Linked DNA regions of Caenorhabditis elegans. The protein of the gene in region 3 purifies or fractionates together with the protein of the main gene of each other region. This does not show direct contact. Each region holds a gene or a part of one and is shown on either strand. Other genes may lie near its edges. The genes, in order: pis-1, wdr-5.1, utx-1 and set-16.

Region 1 (7,252 bases), on a different chromosome or scaffold from region 3:
ACATACGAAACAAAACATGTACCAGTTTCGAAACCCTTCGGGGTTTCACAAGGGTCTTGTCACGAACAAAATATTCTACGCAAAAATATATCCGTCTTTGTTCAAATAATACAAAAAAATATCGTATTACTCAGATGCAAAATTCTGCGATTATTGCTTCAAAAAATACGGTACCAAGCGCCCAAATTTCAAAAAAAACTTGCGCCTTTTAGGAGTACTGTAGTTGCTAACTTCTCGTTGTTATTGTTCTTTCCTACTTTTCTCCTTTTTTTTTAAGTTGATGTATTTTCATAGGTAAATCAATTTTTTAACGTGTGAAACCAATAGAAGAAAATCCCGTAACAAAAAGAGAATTACCAACTACAGTACTCCTCATAGGCTCATGCTCTTTTAAATAAAACAAAATTGGTCGCTTGGAGACCAAGCGCCCAGTTTTGGGGAGAAAATCACAAATTTTCGCATATGGATAATATTTTAGCATTAAAAAAAACGTTTGGCAACTAGAACATACTGTCACTTTCAATTAAAAAGTTCCAATTTTTCTAACGGTGTTCAAAATCAAAGGATTTGCACTTTAACAGTTCAGACATTAATTTTCAAACCTATTAAAAGGTGGTCTTATAAGAAAAACCGTTTCTCAAGTCAAGACGAGAGTAAAAAAATAAATTCAAATAATAATATTTTCAGCCCAAGAAAAATGGAAATATACTTCAACATCAATAATGAAATCCCTCCAACTTTTCAAACTTCTTCCTTTGATGATACTTATTTGTTTCAAAGGGACAATATCAAAGAAATTATAAATGATAACTTGCAGTTTTTGAATTTTTATTTCAATTGCTCAAAGGCATCCGGCATTCAGAATTTTTATTTTAAATTGCACAATATTGAGATCTCCTATTTTCTTTAGAATTATAAAATATGATTTTTTTAAATATAAATATTTATTCATAAAATTTTGAGAAATGTTGTAAAAATCAACTATGGAACATGGGAAATAATGAGATTCGTTGAGTGATGAGGAGGTGCAAATAAATTTGAATTAAATACTTAATATACAAGTATCAATGTACCATTAATAAAATGCTAGCTATTTTCTGAAAGTACATCTGCTGCTCTTGTAGGCTCTGAAGCAAGTGATGCTGCGGGTTCTTGATCTTTAGGGGGTGCTGTGTACGGTGGCGGTTGTCGGAATACGGGTGTCTTCACGACAATTGGAATAGGGATTCGATATTGTGGAAGAGGTTCGATTTGTTGCCGAAGCATTGCAAACAATACGAGGTCCACATTGTAAATGGCTGAAAGTTTGAATTTTAATATTGAAATTAATTTGGCAAGAAAACTCACGTAATTTAGAACCTGCCAAGTAGCTCAAGAAGCGAGCGTCGTTTTCGCATGATATTATAATAAATGGCTGTTCCGTTTCGACGCATTTCGCTGCAAATTTTTTTTACAAAATAAATATTTCTCAAAACAAAACAGCTCCCAATCAAGGTCGGTTGTTAATTTAATTTTTTTAATCGAAGATTTTCGTTGTTCGATTTTAGTTTTTAGTTTTACCGATATTTCAAAAACAAAATTACGCTTTTTCGAAAAAGGGTATAAAATTTTGGTAATTTTTCTTCTTTTACTTTCATATGTTTTCTCTGTTTTTTCATCAACATAAATGAATCTTTCGATTTTTGATTTCCCCGAACAAGATCGAATTTTTTTTCATGACACAATTGCTCTCAATCATTTAAATGTTTCATATTCACCTAGATATTTTGGATCAGGTTTCTCTGAATGCACATTTCCACCTCCCAATTCGATTAATCGAACTAAATCATTCTGGTTCGGTTCCACAAATCGCGTCACATGAAATTCGATATCTTCAAAAACTGGTTTATTCCTTGCTCTGAGCACACTTCTCTTGCAATTGTATGCAAATTCTTTTTCGAGTTCTTTATCGTGTAAGAAATAATCCAATGTATCTGAAATAATCATATATATATATTTATATTTATAAAAAATGTGTTGAGAACTCACCCAGCCACATTTTTTGTTTATAACTATCAACAATCCATTCTGGATCCATTATATTTTTCCCTCGAATTATGGATTCAAGAAGAACCAGACTTCTCCGTCCAGAAATCAAAATAACATGAGTCGCATCACGAATTTTCTCAACACATTCTCCTCCAAGAAATTCGAGTTTTTTCTTCAAAATCGTCAACGCCTCATCATCAATTCCTTCTCCAAACCATGCTGAAACTCGAGCTTGTGGTTCACGTACTCGGTAGAATTCTTTGCTTAACGGTGTATCCTTCATTTTCTCTTGATGCTCTTCCCAGTGAGTTTTGATTTCATCTAGGCGAGCTCGGGAGCTTTTAATTTCGTCTTCGGTTGGTGCAACTGCTTGATCTGATAGTCGCTTTGATGGGAAGAAGAATGTGTTGTTTTGAAGCGTTTTACGATTTTGTCGGGCTTTCTCGTAAGCTTGGTCCGCAATTATAGTCTGTGATTTCCAGCAAGCTGAACAATAATAAATATGAACTATTTATCTAGTTTCTAACAATGGACTTACACATCATAGCACCAAACTCCTGACTTGCGCCTTCAATGTGATTTGGAGAAGTATTAACGTTTGTCATCACTGGATTTTCTAATTGGTATCTCGGATTCTCCACATTTGGCCTTTTCTGTGGTGACGCCTCGTCGCACACATAAGCATCAGCAATCCATTGAAAATTTACAACAGGAACTTTCCATTCTTGAGCTCTTGTAACTTTGTCAGCTGGCCTAAACTTTACGAATTAAAAATGATCTTACTAGGGAGTGTTTTAACTATACGGTGCGATCGGGTAAAAGTAAACATGTTATGCGATAACTGGCATCTAATTGTAAAACTTACAGTAATTGTAAACTTACTGTTTGGCAATTAATAAATCATTTTGCCTGGCTAAGAATGGTGTAATCTTTGCGCCCATCATTTCAGCCATAAAAGAAATTGCGGCACGTTCGGAACTGTCAAAGCCGGACAATGAAAAAAGCTGAAAACATTGGTTATGAGATATTTTAAACCTTAAAGCAAGAATTGTACCTTTCCGAGATATGGTCTGAAATTTTCATTGAACGGTGGTGGTAAATGAGCAATTCTCCAAGGTAATTCAACTCTTTCTCGTTCCATTACATCAATAATCCATTGGATGGAGACAATTCGCTTTCGATGTTCCAATGATGTCATAACATTTGTATTACGACAGGAATCAACTAAGACATGCGTGATTTGATGGATTCTTTCATGGAATTTTGAAGCCTCAAATTCAATGTCCCCTCCGTGATACTGAAAATTTACAATTTATAGAATGATGATTAAATAATAATAATTTGTAGCTTACTTTAATCATAAATTCCAAATTCTTACGATCGAGTTTGTCCTCAAACAACTTTTCCGAATCGAAGCAATGAAAGTGAATACCAGTTAAATAAAGTTCTGGATCAACATTCATTTGTATCGGGAATGGGTTCACATCGTGATGCATTTGATTCATTTGGTTCATTGTATTCATTTGATTCGGCTGTTGTGGACGATACACAAACTGTGTGGCTCCAGCTGATTGAGGCGGAAGTGATGATGCAGAAAGAATCGGTTGAGGTGTTCCTTGGGTTTGTGGAAGTGGTTGGGATGGAAGAGCAATCGGACGCATTCCATGAGATGTCATTTCGTCTGGAAAAAAGGTTTATGTTGTTCACAGAAAATTGTTCACAGAAAATTGAAGAGGTGTGCGGTATGTGGTTTCTGCATTTGAAGAAAATCAACGTTTTCTATCGATTAGGAAGTACCTATGTTTAAAATGGTATACGATGGGTAAACCGAGTTTTAGGCTAGCTATCAGTATTTTATCCAAATGCCGTACACTTCTGATGCTGAATGTATATTCAATGAACATCATAAAACAAACTATGCAAGCTTCTCGGTAAAACGGGAGTATGCTGTTGAGATTGCTGATTTGGGGACATCAATGACGGTGATCTCAAATCAGCACCAGGTGCTCCTGGAGCAAAATGCGGCGACGATGTAGTACCAGATGGGCCCGGCGGAGCAAAACGATCTGAAGTATTTAGTTTACAAACTTGCAATATTGTTATTCTTTTTGTTTTCAATCATACGTGGAGTTCCAGGGGTCGGTTGCTGTTGTCCTGCCTGAGGCGAAATGTACTGTCGCATTCCTGGTGGAGCAGTTGGCTGACCCTGTCGAAACATTTGATGAGCTGGAGACGAGAATGTAGGGGTTCCAGGCATGCCGGGATACCCGGGAGGCTGCCCAGTAGGTGTCATCTGTTGTGTAGGTGGATAGGTGAACTGCGCTTGTTGTGGCTGTGGATTTGTTCCTTGAGGGTACTGTGGACGTTGTGGAGTCCCTGGAGGTCCTGTTCCAGGTCCGGCAGAGCCCGGGGTCGTTCGAGGAGCAGCGGGCGCTTGTGCAGGATATCCAGGCGTCATTGGTCCAGGCATTCCAGGTGGATAGGCTAAAAACTACTATTTCATTTCTTTTTATTGTTTTAAATTAGTAGACAAAATACACAATTCACTCACCTCCTGGCGGATACGGTACTGGAACTCTCTGTGCTGCCGCTCTTTGTTGGGCTTGAGCTTGCGCCTGAGCTTGGGCTTGAGCCTGAGCTTGTGCTGCAGCTTGCCTTGCATACATTTGCTGCTGCCACTGAGCCGCCTGCTGTTGCGGATATCCCGGAGGATATTGCGATGGATGTCCGGGATGTTGATGCATTTGCATCATCTGATGTTGCCGATACGGTGAATCGTGCATTTGCTGCGGATTCTGGGCATATTGTTGTTGCTGAAGATGTTGTTGCTGTTGTTGTTGAGCCGCTGCTGCCGCTGCCATTGCCTGGAAAAAATTAATTTTAAAATTAAAACTTAATTAAAATCTACCTGAGCATGTTGTTGCTGTTGCATCTGTGCTTGCTGATAATCGTACGGAACGGAAGTCGGTGGACCACCGGCGCTCTGAGGGGTCCCACAATTTGAGCCAGGCATACCAGCACTTTGCGGTGTCATCGGAGTTCCTTGCGAATGTGCGGGACTTTCTAGGAGATAAAAATTCATTTAAAATATTCATAAACACAAAAACCGACCTCCATGAAAGAATTGTTGTTGTTGATGTTGTGGGGGATTGCCCATTTGATGGTTCGGTGTTCCAGTGGAACTCCGCTGACTTCCAGGTGTGCCTGATCCTGAATCTGACAGGAAATTAGACATTTTTACTTTTAAAATGTGTGTTCTCACCTCCTTGGAATATATTGGCTGGGCTCATCGTGGGTGTTCGCTGCCATGTTTGTGGCGGTGGCTGAAAAAATAAATTTGTAATTTTGATAGAAACAGAAAAATTAAAATGAATCAAAACCTGTTGTCTTGGTTGTTCGGGCATTACAAATCCCGACGGATTTTGTTGTTGTGGCACTTGATGAAGTTGATCGTTGGCAAGAGGATTTTGGATTCGTGATGGATCCAAAAGACCCAAGGGAGGAGAATCGGGACGATGTTGAATGTCTTCCTCCTTACTCAACGGGTCCGCCATCTCCTAAAATTGTATTAGATGATATATGATATCAGAAAGGGAAATGATAGATATTTAAAAGCATTGTCAACTTTCTCTTGAAAAATCAAATAATTGGCGATGAGACGAAACATTTTCATTCGGGTCAGCATGGTTTTCAAAATAACTAAACAACATTTAACAACAAAACAAAATGAAACCGGTGGGAAATTACTCTGGTAATGGAAATGTAAGTATCATTCGGAGGAGCAAAATGTAATAATTGAAGTTGGAAATTAGAATTTCTTGTCAATCTCTGGAATGAGATCTTTCAAATTTGCCCATTGTGCTTTGCTCAACGAGATTCCTTTGCGACTTGGCATCATTTTCTGAGAATCCTGAAAAGAACAAAGCATTGATTTGCCTTTTACCACTTCAAATTACTCTGTCAATGTAATATTCTCTGATGTTGACATATTCCTTTCCCTTGAACTTGCTGACGGTCGCGTATCTAAGATTTCCGATCTCAAACATCTGAAACAATTTATTTAACATTTATAAATAATAAAATAATTACCTCATTTCCATCGCTGTCTTTCAATCGTCCAGACACTTCCTCCTCATTCTTAGCTTTCTTTACTTCTTGTTTCTCTTCTTCAACGGCTTCTGACTGCCTTTTCTGAAAATTGACAATATTTCAAACTCAAATTCAAAACAAGACCACCTTTGACTTGGTTTCCTTCTTCTTCTGTTCTTTAGTCACTTTCTTTTCAAGTTCATCTTCAGATGAAGAGGAGGACGACATGTCTGTAAATATATCGATTTTTTGAGCGGCGACGTGTCATTAGACTGTGTGCGGGTAGTTTAATATTTGATGAAACAAAGTTATAGGCTGAATATAATAGAAAAATGAAGTTATACTACCTTATAATAAAATAAAAAGTGTTTTCAATTAAAAATAAATTTAAAATTGTTCGAACAAACGCCTTGGCCTAGAACTTTCACAAAGGAGACTTCTAGGCCATATTTGATGAGTGTTCGGCCAGCAGCCTTTTTTTTTAATTTTTCAGCCGGATTTTTTGTTTCCCAATTTGTTTTTTTTCTTATTTGGAAATTGTGTACATAATTGTAGAATTATCATATATATTGTGTCTTCTGTGGTTAACTCGTCAAATTCATGCATTTCAAAAACAATATGAACGCGCCAAATGATTGTTTCCTCGCGACACCATCAAATTAATTGCTCTCATAGTTTGACCGCCTTATCATTATAATCGTCTTATCAACATGCATTTTAGATGGTAATTATGCGGAAAATAAAAACCATTTCTTGCGTAAATCACGGAAACTGGCTCGCCCGAAATGATACCTCAAAATACAAATTATCAAAGTTTCTGTTCAAAAATTGTTTAATTCTCTAAATTCTTCCGTCCTAAGACCATGATTATAGGTTCATAATAATTTCCAGATCCATTAATTTCGACCTAATGTTTTCTACAGTTTGGAAACATGTTCTTTGTTCTGTTTTTCAAAAATCATCCCATTGTGATGTGGTTCTGTAAAAAACTTTCCACATTTTCATCGATTTCTCCCATCTCTTCTCTCGATTCGGAACTTTTTTTTGCAAAATCTATCGCCCGATCACACCGAAAAGGTGACCTTCGTGTGGTTTTCACCCAGTTTTTCATAGAGTTTTCATACATCAATCCTAG
Region 2 (4,159 bases), on a different chromosome or scaffold from region 3:
GCAGAAAAAAAACCCTTTTGAAATCCACGTGGAAACGGGCTAACGATGGGTCTCGTTAGGTTTTTGGCGGCAAAACTGGATGTTCAAAAGTTTTCAGTTAGTTTCCCCGATTTTCAAGCATTTTTCGTTGTTTTTAATGATTTTTATGCCGAGATTTATGAAAAAATTTATTTTTTGACATCAAATCATTAAAACCAATTGAAAATGCTTTGAAATCGGGCAAGAATAATTGAAAAATTCGATTTTCGGTTTCTTAACCTAAAGAGACCCATAGTTCAGGGGTGGGGCGTTTACTTAGAAAATCTGCGATTTCTTACAATTTTCAGATCTTCTTTAAGATTGGGATTATTTGCAATTTCCTCAACTAGCGTCGAAATCTGTGTAGCCCGAGTTGCCATTCTAAAATTTTCAGCCTCAATCCAGAAAAATAAAATTAAATCTGAAAATCAAATAGAATATCGAAATAAAACGAATCAATTGAATGATCATCTCAATCATCCCACGGAAATTAATATTTATGGATTTTTATATTAGGAAGAATATATAAGGAATGACAGAAAATACGAAGTTTCAGAAAAAAAAGTGTCTGGCCACCGCGCCTCTATAATCAAGGAATATAGGAGATCAAGAAGGAAAAGCATATATACACGGTGACCAAGGGGTAAATATAAATCAAATTTTCGAAATTTTAATTAAATTTAAACAATTTAAACATCCGAGCGCCATATATGAATCTTGTTGTCTGGCTCGAGAGCTCCTGAGGCAATGATGTTCTGAACTGGATGACAATCGGAGGCTAGCACGGGTTCTGAAATGGAAAAAATTTAAATTTGCATTTTTATTTTATTTTTCGACTTACGTGTGTGTCCTTCAAGACATTGAACTATTTCCCGAGTCTGGAGATTCCAGATGTAGATCTTACAATCTTCGGAACCACTGATGATCCATTTTCCACCGGTAACAGAGAAGTTGGCGAAGATGCAATATTTGCTATTCTCGTGTCCAGTGTATTGTTTCAGGGTTTTTCCTTTCGAGAAATCCCACAATTTCAAAGTGCTGTCGAGGTTCGATGCGAGGATGTATTTTCCGTTTGGAGAGAACTTTACAAATGCCACCGGAGGATTCTCGTCGTCGACCAGAGTCTTGATGCATTGCCCATTGGCAGTGTCCCAGATACGAACTAGACCATCGTAGGATCCCGATGCGATGAGGCTGCCGTCTCTGTTGAAAGACACTGCTGACACTGGATCTGAGTGTGCTGGGAGGGTTTTTATGCACATTCCTGTCTTGACATCCCAGATACGAACGGATTCATCGAATGATCCGGAGACAACGAGCGATGATTGTGGGTTGAAATTGCAGCAGAAGACGTAGTTATTGTGTCCTTTCAAGGTTTTGGTCATTCTCGACGTTACAATTTCGAAGATTTTCAGTGTTTTGTCGTCGGAAGCAGAGACAACACAACGGCTGTCGGAACTCCATGCTATATCGTTTACACCCAGTTTGTGGCCGGTGAGCTGAAAATTTAAGGATTAATTGTAATTTTCATGAGCGGAAACATACAGTTCGCTCACAAATCATGTGATCCATGTTCCAGATTTTGACGGTTTTGTCCGCGCTGCTTGTTCCGAGATACTTTCCACATGGGGAAAATTTAGCTGAAGAAATCGATTTTGTGTGTCCTTCCAATGTACACATCAGCTTATAATTTGCTGAACCCGAGGCTGAAGCTCCGGCGGCGTTTGGATTGGGAGTTTGGGCACTGGCACCTGGAGCGGGTGTGCCAGTCGGATTTGATGGCGAAATTGAATTGGGAGAAGTCTGGAAATTGACTATTGTGAAGTCTTATTCAAAAATATACTATTTAACAATAACGAAACCTACAGATGGAGCAGGAGCTGAAGAACCTCCATCCGGAGCATTTGGTACTGTTAATTGATCGATTTGTTGTGTTGGCTGTTGCTCGGCAGCTGAAGCAGCATTTTCGCTGGTATCCATATCTGAAATCACAGCAAAAATCAAAAATTAAGTTGAAAAATGAAGAAATTCATTCAAAAAATATAAAATAGAAATCGTCGTAAGATGCAATGTGCGGTACGCAGAGGCAAGGGTGCATGCACAGCGAACACACAATTTGACGCGCAATGTTTTTGCAGTTTTTTTTTCGGAATTTCTTTTTTTTCGTTAATGAACTCATGTCATGACATGTATCCGTGTCTGATACGTGTTAAAATATTTATATATTCATTCGATTACAGATATAACAAACTTTTCCAGTCATACAAACACTTTATAAAACAGTTAAGCGAAAAATTGTCGGTGCATTATTTAATCTTCCTCGTCTTCATCTTCATGACGAGCCACAGCGGGAGGAATTCCATACATGTGACGACCACGACGAAAGAGTGGCATTCTAAAAACTCCGACTCTTGGCGGTACTTCATCATCGTCATCATCCTCGTCTTCAGCGTTAGGATTCTCGTCTTCATTGCATTTTTCGGAATCAACAGCGAGTGGTTTAACTATTGGCTCATCAGGCAGAATAACTTCGACTTGAATATTGGCAACTTTTGGTCCGTAGAATCCTCTCCAAAATTGTCTATCTTCACCTTCATTCAGAATAGTTAAATGTCGAATTCCAGACGGGTAATCGTCAAACTCAATTGTCCAATCTTCCCAAGGTTGACCAGTCCATTGAGCCCATTCCTTATTTACAGATTTATATCTTTTATGATCAGTGTTGCTCATAGTTTGTACATGGCCAAATCTTTCAATCCACTGAGTCTCGTGATAGTTCAACTGAGCAGCAAATGAGAGCCTGGCTGCACAATCATTACGATGATTGACTTTCTGTGTAATTCTAATTCTCGGGCGAACGTGATCCAAGATCCATGGGTCAATTCCAGAGTTCACCAAATCGATGAAAACACTGATTGAGCTCTCTGTGAATGAAAATACGAAGCACTTGGAAACATCCGGATGTGGTTCACAACCGTTTCCTCCATCTCTTTCCATGTGGATTCTGAAATTGTAAATATTGATTATTTTAAGAACAAAGTATTGACATACCCACTGCCATTCGCTCTGATTGAAAAATCATCTGAACGGAGAGTTCCACTTATTGTGTTGTCACGTGCATTTTCAAAATGAGAAATGAAAAGCGGAGTGATTGGTGAGTAGCCTCTTCCAGACAGAACCTGAAGTAAAACTTTGTAATTTTATTACTATAAAATGCGATAACCTACTATTTTTTTAATATTAAAATTAAAACTTGAAGTGTCAATTTCATTGTCTTCATTTCCAACAAACTTCTTCTGTGTCGCTGCTCTTCTCCACTCCAAAGATGGAAGAACATTTGATATATTTAAAATTCGAGCATATTCAATCCAAAACGAGTCACTTGATATCAAATCATTGAATCGATGGCAAGCCAATTGGCAGTTTAGAAGTGATTTTTTGTCCAGCCTTCGGAAAATTGGCGAGAAACATTCGTTCGGCACAGTTTCTGCATCTCTGAAATAATTCTAGGTGAAAAATTGATATTTTAATTAAGAAAAAACTCACATTATCACTGGAACATCGGTTTTGAACTGTAGACTTTGCATTATCGATGAGAACGCTTTAAACATTTGGGGTCGATGAGAACAATATTTTTCGATTTTAAAGAGAAGAAATGAGTCAGAAGGAGAGAGACGCAGAGAATGGAAGTCTTGCGAAATGCGCATGCATGTGATATTCGTGTTCCAAAAAACTATCACGCTGTTAATATTATTATTTTAAAGCAAAAATATTAATAAGAAAATATTCAATGCTATTTTGAGAATGAGAAAAAAACTTTCTGACAAAAATATTGAGAACCTCTAGATATTCAACTTCTTTATATATTTTATTTTTTTCCTCATCTTGCTGACTGCAACTTTTTAGATTAGTTGATATATATTTGTCTTTCTCTTCTCTTAGTTTTACAGGTTACGAAACATTGATGATCTTCCTTATCCAAAGATACGTGGACAGCAAGAAATAACTTGTCCCACTTTCTAGGTTATCGCCGCCAATACCAAGGTCAAGCAATTCATGTTCTTCAGATTTGTGTTTCTAAAAAGGAAAAAAAAACGAATAACCGTGTTTATGAAGAAATACTCGTGCAATAGGAACCTGT
Region 3 (8,053 bases):
CATATAAACTTTAAAAATACAAGTGAAACTATTTCAGTATGATTTTTTTCAGATCATGTCAAACTGCGCTGCTCCTGTCACCGCAATATAAAAGATTGACAAAAATGCGGATACTGCCTTCTCTATACTAATAAAACTTCCGTTTATCAAAACAACAGTTTATTTAGAAAAAATTAAAGCTCGAAATAAAAAAACAATCCATGAGCTAACAATCCCACGTTTTGTAAAACATGGCAGTCAGTTTGAAAAAAAAGTTCAACAATAAACAGGAGATCAGATAAATTGAGGAAATAGTTTAAAATTTGGGTTTTCACAGTTTTGGAAGTGTATCGAAAGAGGGACACAAATGAACTAATTGAGAAGATTGAGATAAGTGAACGAGACCTTTTGAGCTTTCGCCAAAAATTGAAACGGGGAAATGTTTGGGGTGAGGGAGAGAGGCACATCAAGTGGAACAGGTTTGTGAAATAAAATATGCAATGATTAAAACGTCCTAACTAGAACTTTCTAGGCAGTGAAACTCATCTTATTGTTGTTAGCTGCGGGTATATATTTCATGTTGTCGTAGATTGAGTACAAGTCGGTGAACGAGAACTGCTGAAGAGCTATGAAGCCTTCGATTCCTTGCCTGAAAAATCACATTTTCTTTTCGAACCACTATAATTCTGAGTGAGGTTCCGCAAGTACTTGTGTATTTTTTAAAAGTAACTTTTCAAAAATATACAGAATCACGTGTTGAATGTTTTTGTATTTTTAGGCATAAAAAATAACCATTTCTAAGCCCAAAACGTTCAAAAATTTTGAAAACTTACGATTTAGCACAGTATACACAGAAGACTGTAAACTTTCCGCCAATATCCTTCACGAACAAAATACAAAACACTTCACACTCGCACGTCATACAGAAATGGGATTGTTCTCCACTTGTTCGAGTATGAGCTTTTATGGTTTTCTTCTGAGACACGATATAATCGGCAACCATTCTCAGGAATGCAAGTGATCTGAAATAAAGTTATTACAAACTTGATTGTTCTTCTTAGGCTACTCACCTAATCAATACACCTTTGCAAGTATTGTAGATGAGCTGGTTGGTAAACTTGACATTCTTTGCTACTTGCCAGCACATTAATTGCATTGGAACTTCACTCTTAAATCGGCGCAGCTTGTTGTATTCGTAGCTGAGCAAAGAGATGCTCAACTGTTGAAAGTTGAGTGGCGCCACATTCCAAGAAATGTTGTTGCACCATCCCGAAGCTTGTACCCAATGAATGGCTCCGCCACTCACATATACCATGTCTCCAGCCTTCTGTGTGAAACGGTGCACTGGAATTCCTGCATCTAATAAGTCATCGATAATAGGCCAAAATGTTCCAGTCAAAAGATCAACGCCATTCTTCTCGCACAACTTATGCATCTTTCCCCAATACTCGTATGGAACGGCAAACCATTCACAGTCACCGGGACCAATGTTTATGTTGATGGAAGCCATGTGATTGCTATCCTGATGAGCTGGTGTTCTGCAGCCAGGAACTTTCATGAAAAGCTTAACAGTATTCATGCCGTGAACTTGGTGCCCCAAGTGGGAGAGCATGTTTGAGCCGGCGATGAGGCGACAAAAAGCAGGAAGTTTAGAAAGTTCCTGAAAAACGGCAGTTGTGTTTGGTTTTAAAATATGGAGCAATAAAAAAACTTACGTTGATCTGTTTTCCCCATTTAGTGTCATCAGATAAATCAATATTAGTTCCATATTTAATAGACTTCAGATGTTTCGGTGGAGAGCTGGCTCGCTTATACAATTTCATTCTTTTAGGAGAAGGTCCACGTGTTCCTCCCACATTTTTCTTGATTTTCTCAGCTTCACCCTTTAGCGTGTGCTTGAACGATTCCGATTGATACTCGGCATACTTGTTGACTGTTGTGTACGAGGGATCACTGACACATTGCCATGTCTGTTGACTTGCATGATCACAGTTCGTTTCTGGTGGTAGTTGATACTGAGTTCGGATTTCAATTTCTTGGTTTCCGTCAATTTCTGCCACTGCTTTCGTGGAGAATAGCGACAAATCGAGGCGAAGGCAACCAGTAAGTCCACGAATACAAGAAATAGTAGACCCATCCAAAAACCGTTGTAATTCCAGACTTTGAGCTTCCTTCCTATTGTCCACCGTAAGAATTGGGGTTTTAAGAATTAATGGATGCTTTTCACTCCTTTCTAGCGCCGTGCGTACATCTTCATCTGTTACAATTGGCTTTACGGGACCTCGTGGTGGCTCGGGTAACTTCGCAAATTCTTCAAACACTGGTAGGTATGTGGAGTTTGGCTGAGTTCTTCTATGAACCATTTGCATAATTTCCTGAGCGCTGATATCCATTGAAACATAGAGCTCCGAGAGCAAACTGAAACTATCCGGAAGGTCATTAAACGAAATTTTCGGTAAGAATGGGAAGCTGTAGCATCTCGGCGATTCAAGTAGATGCCCATGGTCGCGAAGGTTTTGGATCATTTCCTCGGTGACACGTGGCATTTCACGAACGGCTTCCGGAATTACGTATTCAATAACTTTTGCCTGAAAAATTTAATGTTTTTCAATAAACCATTTAATAATCCCTATGGTTTTCAAATGTTTCAGATTACAGAAAAAGTGAGTCACAACTTTAACTTTCAGTTCTGATCACGCTTCAGTTATTCAGAATATATTTTACATGCGACAATAGAACATAGAAAAGCTTTATAATTAGGCTCATTGCGTCTACTCAAGAGATTTGTGCAACAGATACGCTATGAAATTCTCTCGTTTTTTTCCTTTTTTAATGTTAGAAGCAACACTGGCGGCCGCCCTGGCAGCAACTGCATCATCACTTCCCTTGATGTACTGGCATAAATGTATAGCTATCATACACTAATGAAAAGAGTATGACTTCTAAGCCGTGTTTGGCCTTTTTTGCTCGCATTTTTCACTGGCCTGTGTTTGTCAGCTATTTGAGCTCTTATTACCTTAAACACTGCCTCGCTGGTTTCCAAACACTCAAGAACTTCTCTCTCAGCTTTTACTAAAGCTGGTTCGTTGGCACGAAGCAACTGCATAACCTGGATTTCGAGATCTTCCATTGGCCTTGGATACGTTACATCCCATTCCATATCTTCCGGCTTTTCATGCTCCATTGTTCTGAAATCTTCCCAAAGATCCCAAAACGCGTTGTCATACTGAGCTTCTCTGTCCTAAAAATTGTGGTTTCAAAAAAACGCACATGACAACAATCACTTACAGCATAGGCAGCGTCTTGACGATTACGAAGCTCTAGAGGTATTGGCTGCTCATAAGCTTCTTTCAATGAAGGTATCACGGTTTCAAATGTTGATGACGAGGCGTGATTTGAGGGACGTGCGGGCACAGGCATCGAGAGTTCTTTTTCAAGAAATTGTACACGAGCTTTGATTGGTTCCGGAGCAACTGAAATGTCATGATAACATTAGTTTGTTCTTTAAAAAATCTGAAATCGTTAATTACTACTACTCACTCAAAACAGCCTCTAGCTTTACATTTAACCTACATTTACAAGCTCACCTTCCTAAAACTTGAAAAACTCAAAACTGCAATGAAATATATTGTTTCTCTTTTTAATGGATACTGCGTTTCATTTGTCACGTCTTCTATTTTATTAAACATTTTCAACTTGGAAACACTTACAGTGTGTATTGCTAATTTCAAAATGAATGTTGTTTGTTATCAGAGCTTTCTTAGAAAAGACCATTACAATTGAAACAACTTGGTTTTTTTCTTAAACATTTTTCAGTCGTTGTCATAAATGTTGTCATACTTCCTTTAAATATATTTTCCAATCACGTGGAAATTTTATCTGGTGACTAGAGATTAAGCAGATTAGTTGTGCTTCTGTTATATCCTTTCATTTCTCTTATATTTTCGTTTAAGTTTACATTCAATGTTTGGCGATAGCAAATTTAGCGACACCCATTCTACTATAGACAGGCAAGTATCATTGGCTGATAAGAAATGAAGAAAATCATATTGAAACTGATTCATTCACAACATTTTTTGATAGAAATTTCAATTTGGTTTTTCCAGAAAAGTTATAATTTATTTATATTCTTCTACTTTTTCTTTCAGGAAACCATCAACATACCTGGATTGTTCAGCATTGCATTTTTGAAACACTCCAGCGCATCTTGGTACTGGGCATTTTTCTCATAAAGCTCTCCGAGATCTGTCCATGCCGCAGAATGTGTTGAATTCAGCTCAATTGCACATATGAATGCCTAAAACGTGTTCAATATATTAAAAATTGGAGGCATTTATTGGAAAGATTGGGGTGGGCATACGCCATTGTTTTGAGAATTGCTCTGATCTTGCACACTGTGCACATTGTTTCCAAAAACTCTAATTTTGATTCCTGAACATACCTGAAGAGCATCAATGGGTTGATTTTGTCGCTGATACAGAGCTCCAATTGAGCACCACGTGTCCGCATTCTGCTCTTTTTTGTCAATCGAAAACCGGTAGTTGACAAACGCATCGTGTGCCTTAAATTCAGGAAGAATTAAATTATTTTCCTAACGTTTTTTTTTGAAAATTAGAGGTTAATAGAAATAAAACAAGTTATTTTTTAAGATTGTTAAGGAACAAAATGAACACAAACCACTTGTCCACTAACACTAGGCTCGTGTTCCCCGTAGACTCGTCCCAGATAGTAGTAGCTTTGTCCATCTCGTGGATCTGTATCATGTGCACTAATGAGATTCTCTTGGGCCTTCTTCAAATGATCCAGACGATTTGCATCGTCTTTATAAGAGCGGCGATATGAAATCCAGCCAATTTGTCGCAAACATGCTGCTTTCACACTTATCAATAAGTCAACTTGTTGTTGATCCACATTCGACTTGCTTTGTAAGAAACTGATGTGTTGTGTTAACTGAAATTATTCGATTTTTTTTTGTTTTTAACATTGTTTGGTGATACTACTCACTTCAGTTATTAGGTTTTCATATTCTGATTCTGCAATTTCAAGCTCATCATTATTCTCGTGGCTCAGAGCAATGTTGTACTTAATTGTGAATTTCGGCATAAATACTGACTCATCACTGTCGTTGACGGCAAGTTTGAACAGCTGTAAAATATAATAAGTTTATTAAATAACTGAAAAGATTTTACGAAATTTTACGCATTGTAAAGTTTCTGGAGTATAGCTTTTTATTGCAAAAGCATGCGTATTCTCGGTCTTTTGATCTAGCTTTGTAGAGTATCTAGCTAATTTTCCACAACTAGTTGTGGGAAAACTGCCAGTTTGCTCGAGAAAGCTGATGGTAAGACTTACCAAAAGTTTAATTAAGAAAGATTGTAGAAACACTACAAATTTTAATAACGCATTGAATGCAATTAAAACTTGTTTTTTTTATGTCTCAACTTATAACTTTTTCAGATCGTTTTCTTAATACTTACATTTATGCATCTGTTGTAATCTTCAAGTTCCATGTAACACACTCCAAGACGAACTTTTGCTTGCAATGCGATCATACCGGTTGGAAAACTATATAGCAGTCTTGTGAATGCCTCGATTGCACTAGAAGATTTTGTTTCAGATTATTCACAACAAAAAAACAAAAACTCACGGTTTCCACTGTTTGAAATGCAAGTAGACAAGACCTAACCCGAAGTACATCGAAGGATCATGTGAGAATAGGTCAGGATGATGGCTCAACACTTCTTGATAAAGCTCCAGTGCTCCGGTCCAATCATTTGCCAAAAGAACAACGTGACACTGTTTCGCCAATCCGTAGAAAATGCGCCGTTCGATTGTCTTGTACTTGTGCGTTTTATAAATGCTCTTCATCTCATCCACATATCTGACAAGGTATTGGCGGGCTTTTGCAAAGAACAATCTGACTTGATAAGTGAGATCGGCTGGGTTTTGAACGTGAAACTCGTCGAATGATAAACTGAAAATTAAAAAAATATTTACTTTATTGCAATCTTGTGACAATTTTTCAACCTGCTTAATGTGCGAATCCTTTCCAGTTCATAATTTGTCAGAAGGGGCAGTTCCAGCCATTTTTTAAAGTTTCCAGGCTGAAAAATGAGAAAATTTAACTTTTGCGCACTAAAAACAAGTAATCCTTACATGACGCTCCTCCGGCAGAGGTTCTGATTCGTCCATTGGCGGTGTGAGAAGCGATACGGTGTTCATGCACAAGACTTTTTGGGAATTATACAAATCTGGAAAAACTGCAGCGATTTAGTAATAATAAAATACATACACATAAGAGAATTGTAGGAAACATAACTTGGAGAAATCTTAATCAAGTTTTGACAAAGAAAATAAGCACAAAAAATCAATTAGAGCACTGTGAACTGGTCAATACTGTGTCTTAATTCAAATAGTATGGTTTATTAAACAAAGATCAACGTTAGAAACGGAGTATCGTTGCCATTGCCGTGCGTTCGCAGCCCGTCTCTACTGTGCCTGTTTGGCGAATGGTGGAGGGGGAAATGGAGAGGTAGTGCTCGGTATACGGACGCGCAGACGGTTAGAAACGCTTGGGCGGACAAGGAGTGGGTCGATGGTGTGCGCAAGTATGGATTGGGGTCGTCAGGGGGCAATTTGTGGAAAGGGTGAATATATGCAGATTTCGCAATACCGCACAAAGTGGAACTGAATCTCATTCAGAAATTTGTAAAATCGAGAGAACATGAGTTATGAAAAATTCCATGCTAAGAATATTGTCAAGCTACTCTGCTTTATTCTTCAAAAATATGTAAATAAAAAACTAACACAAATCTTGAACAATATTGCCAATAGTAATAGAACTTTGGTATCTTTATAGTTTTTTGAAATGTCTTTTTCACATTAAGTTTTTGATCCACTTTGTTTGAGAGCAACCAGTACATTATTGTGGATCTTGTTGTAGAAGTTATTACTTTAAAACCTGAGCTTTTTGAGATTAACAACAGGAAGACCGCTGGAAAAAAAAGTTACAATCCAAGATTTTGGACAACACAAACTGAGTTCTTGTTTAATTTCAAGAAAATTTATTTACATCTAGGAAAACAGTAAAGAAAAAGAGATCTCGGAAATACGCAAGAGAGAAGAGCAAAGTAAGAAAACTGATGGAAAACTTCAAATATCTCCAAGCACTTGATTCTAACCGGAATGTACAAAAAGTTTAACAAAAAAGGAAATGAAAGAGGGAAAAAGGGAGATAGAGAGCATTTAAAATCTTTTCACAACCAAATTATACAAGTGAAGTATCTCATGTAAAACTGAAAGAAAATGAAAAAGAGTAGATTGTGAATGGGGGAATGGGCGGGGATGAAATTTAAATTTAGGTTTCTGATTCACATTTACAAGTATTTTGTTTTTTATTGATAGATTTGTTATGCCATAGAAAAGTTTTGATTCTCAAGTTTGAAAAATCCGGGGAGCAGGGCAAGTTTTTCAGGTCCGATGAAGATAAAATCCGAATTTGTATTTTCACCAGTTTGGATCGCCGTTAGAGGAAAAGAATTCCAGAAGATTATGACACCGTTTCGAGATGCTTGGCTTGTGATGAATAACATTGTAGTCAGTGGAGCCGGAGTGAGAATGGGCATGACCAGCTCGGCGAGCTTTGATACGATCGTTGGTCGTCACTCCTTGCGAGATCTATAATAATTATTGTATTTAATTTTTTGTAACAAGAATGAATAATTTCTAAAATTGAATTACCGAATGTTCTCTATTAGTAATGTGGCTGTTGCTATCAATAACGCATTTAAATGTGTCCACGAAAATTTGTGTTCAAGTCTCTAGCAATCCTAATTTTGTTGGAAATGCCAATTTCAAAGATTTTCATTATTTGCAGTTCAATTGTCTTCTATGTATAATAAAACTCCTAACAACCAATTAACAAAAAAAACGTCAATAATTAATTTATTTTTAACAACTTTTTTTAAATCGTCACCTAACACAATAGCTGTTTCATTTGAAAATAGGTAATCTCGAACTAAATTTAAACTATCAAAAATAGTATTGCATACAATACTAATAGGAAAAATATTTG
Region 4 (5,063 bases), on a different chromosome or scaffold from region 3:
TGAGTAGCGCATTGACTCTTTCCACTGGTGATGCCATCTGTCGATTAAAATTTAATTTAGGAACTGAAAATTGAGCAGAAACGAAAATTGGAGAAAACCACACAAAAACCAGATTTTGAAAAAAAAAGTATAAAAATATTTTTTTATTGATTATTCATATATTTCGCATGTTTTTAGTGTATTTCTATAAAGAAAAATAAAGGAATAACTAGTAAAATCAACAGAACAACAAGTAGGTGGGGGAAAATATATGCTTTTGGGACTTTTTGGGGTTTAACAACAAACAAACTTTTTATGTGAAAGGATTCTGAGGTAATTTGTGATCATTAGACATTCAGAAGGGGTTGAAGAAATGGTTATACCAGCGGAACTTGACGGAAAGTGACGAGGGGACAAATTAGGGGATAGGCTCCTATGATTGCAGGATTTCGTGTCATTCGCGGATCGAAATTCAGGGAAAAATCGAAAAAAAGTTTATTGGAAAAGCTTCTCCTGGCGTCTCTTGGTCTCCTCTTCTTCTTGCTTCTTGCGAGCCTCGATCTCAGCGGCATCTGTGGTACGGGGCTTCAGGTTGAGACGTGGACGTTCTGCTGGCGGAGCTGATGGATCTGAAGTTTCCTCGGCTTTGTGTTGTTCTTCGCTCTCGCGACGTTGTCGGTATCCACCGCGATGTCCTCCGCCGCCAAATCCGCCACGACGCTCTCCTTCGTTGAAGCGGCCACCTTCACCGCCACGCCGGAAGCCTCCTGCTCCACGACCACGTCCTCCGCGATCTCCGAAGTTTCCTCCGCGTCCTGAGCAAAATTATTGTTAAAATGAGCGGAGAAAAATAAAATAATAACTGAAATACCTCCACGACCACCTCCGCGGTCACTGCGATCGCGCTGTTGGGCACGATTAACCTTGAGTACGCGATTTCCGAAATCGGCTCCATTAAGGCCACTGATAGCAGTATTCATCTGTTGTTCATTCTCAAAAGTGACATATGCGAATCCCTTGAAACTTCCAGAATCTCTGTCGTGCACAAGATGAATATCGAACTTTTTGAGCTGAAAAAACATTTATTAGAAATTTCCTGCTTTTCCGCAGTACCTCTTCATCTGTGAACTTGCAGTGCTTTAATATAGTTTCGATGTCAGTGGCGATGGAGTCATAGGGGAGCCCACCGATGAATGCCTGTAAAATTCGATATATTTAAAATGCCATTGCTTTGAAGTACCCACTAACCTTAAAAATCTCATCGGCCATTGCTTGAAAAGCTTCCCCAAGTGAGACGTCTTCTGAAATTCATTTAAGTCTTTAAAAACGCACACACGAAAGCTCGAAAATACATATTTGCAAATCAAATTATTTATTTAATTTTTTTCCAACTCTCAGTCCGCAATCTCGCGTGGCATTCGGTGTATTGGCACAGTGCCAGAGAGACGCAGTGCGGCAGAGATGCGTAGCCGCCCCGTTAACATGGCAAGGGGCTCTACGCAGCGCGTAGAGACGCAGACATGTAACGCTTGGCAAGATGCCAAACAAATCGATACGCCCTTTTCAACAGCCGTTAGAGGAGAATGGGCGGCAGTTTGAACGATTTTTATCTCATTTTCAGTGGAATAACTCATAATAATTATTTTAGAGTCAAATTCGTATCGATTGAAGCTTCAAAAATCGAGAAAGCCGACTATATGAAGTCCAAAAGATGATTGTAAGTGTTCACCGTTCAAAATTTTAACTATACATCAAAATTAAAATTCCAGTGCATCGAATGTGGCGGTACCGCGTTCAACAACACGGAACTATGTGAAAACTGCATGGATGTTAACCGTTCTGGCACGATGTCGTTGGATATGGCCCGTCAGGTAGGAAATTTTCGATTTTCCACTATTTTTTTTTCTAAAATCAGAAAATTTGCAGTGTGACATGTCGTCCAGCTGTGGATCGTGCCAAAGAATGATAACTGCAGATTCGAGGCAGTGCACAACTTGTCGGAAGTGAGATTTTGAATTTTCAATTGTTTTTCACCGGATTAAAATACATTTTTTTTGCTTTCCAGAAGCTACCATCTCTCCTGCGACTCTTCCGACGTCTCAAGCCTGAACAATTTCGTCTGCATATCCTGTCGTCGGCGAAGCCAAATGCTGCCGGACGACGTGATGCTTTCAGCCTCCGCACGCCCTTCTCGCGGACAAGACGCACCTCTTTCTCCATTCAGCGACCCCTCAGTTCCCCAGATTTCACTACAAATGCAACCGGCACCTCTGCCGTCCAGTTATCCTAGAAGTCAGGATTTCAACGGGGATGTGTACACCCAAATAGCCGCCATGCAGCAACAACGTCAGCAGCAGCAGCAAAATCAAGTTCAGCAGATGTTGGCCACACAGGCACAGCTTATGGATGAAATTAGCGATGGTGGTGGTACGAATGACAGCGATCGGAATAGTAGTCCATTTTATCAAGAGGCTTCCGACTACGATGAGGATTTCGTGCCTGCTAGGTATGCCGTAGATTAAAATTCCGTGAAATACGAAAATTCGTTTGAAAATCGAATTAAAGCCTTAAAGGAACACCGTAATACCTTGAAGGAAAGGATGCCCCACTAAAAGGGGAGCAGAACGAAAAGGGGAGCTGGCACTGTGCCAAACGCACAAAACGCCTTTTTCTCATTCAACGCACGTTGATTTTTGAAATTTTCTTATAGAAGATACGCTTAACAACACACGTAACATCGGAGCATCGTTGTATCGTTTCCTTCGAGAAAAATAGCGTTTGGCACAGTGCCAGATCCCCTTTTCGTTGCTCTCCTTTTCATATCTCTCCTTTTCGTTTTGCTCCCCTTTTCGTGGGGCCTCCTCAAGGGAAGCACACTTTTACTTGGGTCTCGCCACGACGAGAAATATATTACTGTAAATTTCAAATTTTCGCTGGTGTTCTTTGTTTTTTGGGTCACAAATATAGTTTTCTGGTAGTTTGGCACAAATAATTTTTTAAAAAGTAGTTTTTAACCTAGTAAATTAGAAAAATTCTGAACTTCAGAAAAATTTATCGATACATACCGTATTTCTCTTATTAGTATGACCTCCGTATCAGACTTGCACTCCCTATTAGTGTTGCACTTCATACCCCCTCTGAAAATTAGTATTGCACTCCCCAATAGTCTTGCATATACTTTTGTCCTGCAAATTGGCCTCACTAATTTTAAGATTTCAACTATATTTTATGTTTATTTTGCAATAATTTTTGACAAAGTTCTATGAAATTGGAATTATTGAACCTTTTTTATTGCAATTACAATCAAATTTTCTAAATTTCCAAATAAAATTGGAATTCTTTCATGTAAAAACTAGAAAGTCCCAACTCAGAAAAATGTTCTGAAAATTAGTATGGCACTTCCTAATAGTATTGCAAGCGGGGAGACCTTCGAAAAATATTGCAGCCATATTAATAGAAGAAATAAGGTATTTATAAAAACACTTTTGTTAAATTAAACTTTTGGAAAATTAATATTTTCCAGCACTCGCGGACGTGGACGTGGTGGAGGCGCCAAGAAAAAACCAGGCCGCGGAGGATCCACTGGTACTCGTCGACAAACGAATCCCGGCCCGTCGGGCTTCTTTTCCGCCACACAGCTTCAGGCGATGAGTGGTGATTTCTCCCACCTTCACCAACCGCAACAAACATCATCGACACGTGGAAAGAGGGGAAAACGAGGAAACGGCACGTCGGTGCCACGTCAGCCTGGCAAGGGACCGGGTCGTGGACGTGGCCGTGGGCGCGGTAGTGCAGCCGCCATTGCTCAGCTCGCCCAGCTTCAACAGGTGCAATACGGTGCTCAGGGAGCCCCAATGTTCAATGGTGCCCCACAGCTTCACCCAACCCAACCCACTGTTGCTCCTACTCTTCCACCCAGTGTTACCTATCAAAATGTTGCTCCAACTGCTCCTCCTGCTCCTCCTGCCCTTCAGACCCCTCTTCCCGATCCGCTGCCCTCAATTGTTCCGAGTTTCCAGCAGGCCCCACAGGCGGTCGCAATTCGAGAAGTCGACGAGCTGATGCTCGAGGATGAAAGCTCACGGCAGTCTGGCGGCTCAAGATCTGATGAGCCAGAGTATATTCGTACGGCTATTGTTTGCAGAGTCAATGACGAGTTTTTGCAAAAGGTAAGATTGAAATATGAGTGTCATAAAGGAAATTTAGCTGGAAAAACTATAAAAATTATTTTTTGTGATGAATATTGAGAATATAATTTTAATATCTTTGAAAATTTGAAATTTAGATTATTTTTTTTGAAAGAAGGTTTTGTCGGAAAGTTTTCCAAAAATTGACTGCTAAGCTCAAAAAATCAACGAATTCCCGGTTTTTCAGGCTTGTATGTGCTTAGTATGCGGATCGATTGGAAAAGGGCCCGAAGGATCGATGGTGGCATGCTCAAATTGTGCACAGACGTATCACACGTATTGTGTAACCCTACATGATAAGGTAGGCAGGCGGAATCCCAATTTCTAGACGGAAAATAGAGTTTTCACTTAAAAAAAACTTTTTTCAGTTTCGAGGCATTCTCAAATCTGATTTTTTTTTCTATAAATTTGATTTAATTTCTTTTTCGAAATCCCGGATTAAAAAATTTAGAGTAAACATTTTTTTTCAAAGTGTCTGTCATAGTGTCAATAGTTCACTAGTAAAATCTTTTTTTTCATAGTATCTGATATTATGCAACCAATTTGATGCAAAAAAAAAACAATTTTCTGAAACTATGGAAAAAAATCGTAAAAGTCTAATTTTCAAGCCAATTTTGTAAAATTCAAATTTGATCGATTTTCCAACTGACAAGATACATTCAGAGTAAGAAATTTATGAAAAGCAGGAATAAATATTAAAATAACCAAAATGTTGAGGTGTTTTAAATCTAGTCGCTAATTTCTCAATTTGTGCAGCTCAACTCAGCAGTAGTCGGACGTGGTTGGCGATGCCTTGACTGTACAGTTTGCGAGGGATGTGGAACCGGAGGCGACGAGGCGAATCTGCTACTCTGTGATGAGTGTGATGTCTCGTATCACATTTACTGCATGAAACCC

The links.
Region 1: the proteins of utx-1 (region 3) and pis-1 purify together in Caenorhabditis elegans (affinity purification with mass spectrometry, with the first as the bait; one study listed by BioGRID). This does not show direct contact.
Region 2: the proteins of utx-1 (region 3) and wdr-5.1 purify together in Caenorhabditis elegans (affinity purification with western blotting; one study listed by BioGRID). This does not show direct contact.
Region 4: the proteins of utx-1 (region 3) and set-16 purify together in Caenorhabditis elegans (affinity purification with mass spectrometry, with the first as the bait; one study listed by BioGRID). This does not show direct contact.

What each region holds. Positions count from the first base shown.
Region 1 is NC_003282.8:9,791,008-9,798,259, forward strand, and holds pis-1 (PAX-interacting protein 1), read right to left. Parts: upstream 5,586-7,252; 5' UTR 5,583-5,585; coding exon 5,409-5,582; intron 5,352-5,408; coding exon 5,291-5,351; intron 5,245-5,290; coding exon 5,140-5,244; intron 5,092-5,139; coding exon 4,937-5,091; intron 4,893-4,936; coding exon 4,580-4,892; intron 4,513-4,579; coding exon 4,153-4,512; intron 4,095-4,152; coding exon 3,945-4,094; intron 3,710-3,944; coding exon 3,381-3,709; intron 3,326-3,380; coding exon 3,083-3,325; intron 3,033-3,082; coding exon 2,911-3,032; intron 2,782-2,910; coding exon 2,567-2,781; intron 2,515-2,566; coding exon 2,029-2,514; intron 1,974-2,028; coding exon 1,758-1,973; intron 1,438-1,757; coding exon 1,348-1,437; intron 1,299-1,347; coding exon 1,087-1,298; 3' UTR 930-1,086; downstream 1-929. Other genes in the region: T13F2.4 (FTH domain-containing protein), read left to right, coding at 688-910; T13F2.2 (Putative RNA polymerase II transcriptional coactivator), read right to left, coding at 5,837-5,938, 5,985-6,074, 6,118-6,219, 6,265-6,345.
Region 2 is NC_003281.10:3,703,126-3,707,284, reverse strand, and holds wdr-5.1 (WD repeat-containing protein wdr-5.1), read right to left. Parts: upstream 2,001-4,159; 5' UTR 1,999-2,000; coding exon 1,885-1,998; intron 1,822-1,884; coding exon 1,564-1,821; intron 1,518-1,563; coding exon 860-1,517; intron 809-859; coding exon 708-808; 3' UTR 501-707; downstream 1-500. Other genes in the region: dph-1 (2-(3-amino-3-carboxypropyl)histidine synthase subunit 1), read right to left, coding at 318-398; C14B1.3 (F-box domain-containing protein), read right to left, coding at 2,329-3,022, 3,070-3,197, 3,246-3,513, 3,565-3,629. UniProt on the Caenorhabditis elegans protein: Contributes to histone modification. May position the N-terminus of histone H3 for efficient trimethylation at 'Lys-4'. Required for di- and trimethylation, particularly for the trimethylation at 'Lys-4' of histone H3.
Region 3 is NC_003284.9:8,555,328-8,563,380, reverse strand, and holds utx-1 (JmjC domain-containing protein), read right to left. Parts: upstream 6,231-8,053; 5' UTR 6,202-6,230; coding exon 6,136-6,201; intron 6,084-6,135; coding exon 6,007-6,083; intron 5,954-6,006; coding exon 5,627-5,953; intron 5,578-5,626; coding exon 5,457-5,577; intron 5,125-5,456; coding exon 4,984-5,124; intron 4,930-4,983; coding exon 4,657-4,929; intron 4,541-4,656; coding exon 4,421-4,540; intron 4,277-4,420; coding exon 4,144-4,276; intron 3,453-4,143; coding exon 3,268-3,452; intron 3,221-3,267; coding exon 2,996-3,220; intron 2,568-2,995; coding exon 1,695-2,567; intron 1,640-1,694; coding exon 1,050-1,639; intron 1,002-1,049; coding exon 813-1,001; intron 629-812; coding exon 508-628; 3' UTR 146-507; downstream 1-145. Other genes in the region: dhhc-14 (Palmitoyltransferase), read right to left, coding at 7,486-7,656.
Region 4 is NC_003281.10:13,642,291-13,647,353, forward strand, and holds the start of set-16 (PHD-type domain-containing protein), read left to right. Parts: upstream 1-1,625; 5' UTR 1,626-1,690; coding exon 1,691-1,696; intron 1,697-1,748; coding exon 1,749-1,850; intron 1,851-1,905; coding exon 1,906-1,982; intron 1,983-2,044; coding exon 2,045-2,485; intron 2,486-3,502; coding exon 3,503-4,148; intron 4,149-4,353; coding exon 4,354-4,467; intron 4,468-4,922; coding exon 4,923-5,063. Other genes in the region: T12D8.10 (BolA family protein), read right to left, coding at 1-37; drr-2 (RRM domain-containing protein), read right to left, coding at 475-794, 851-1,049, 1,093-1,176, 1,228-1,248.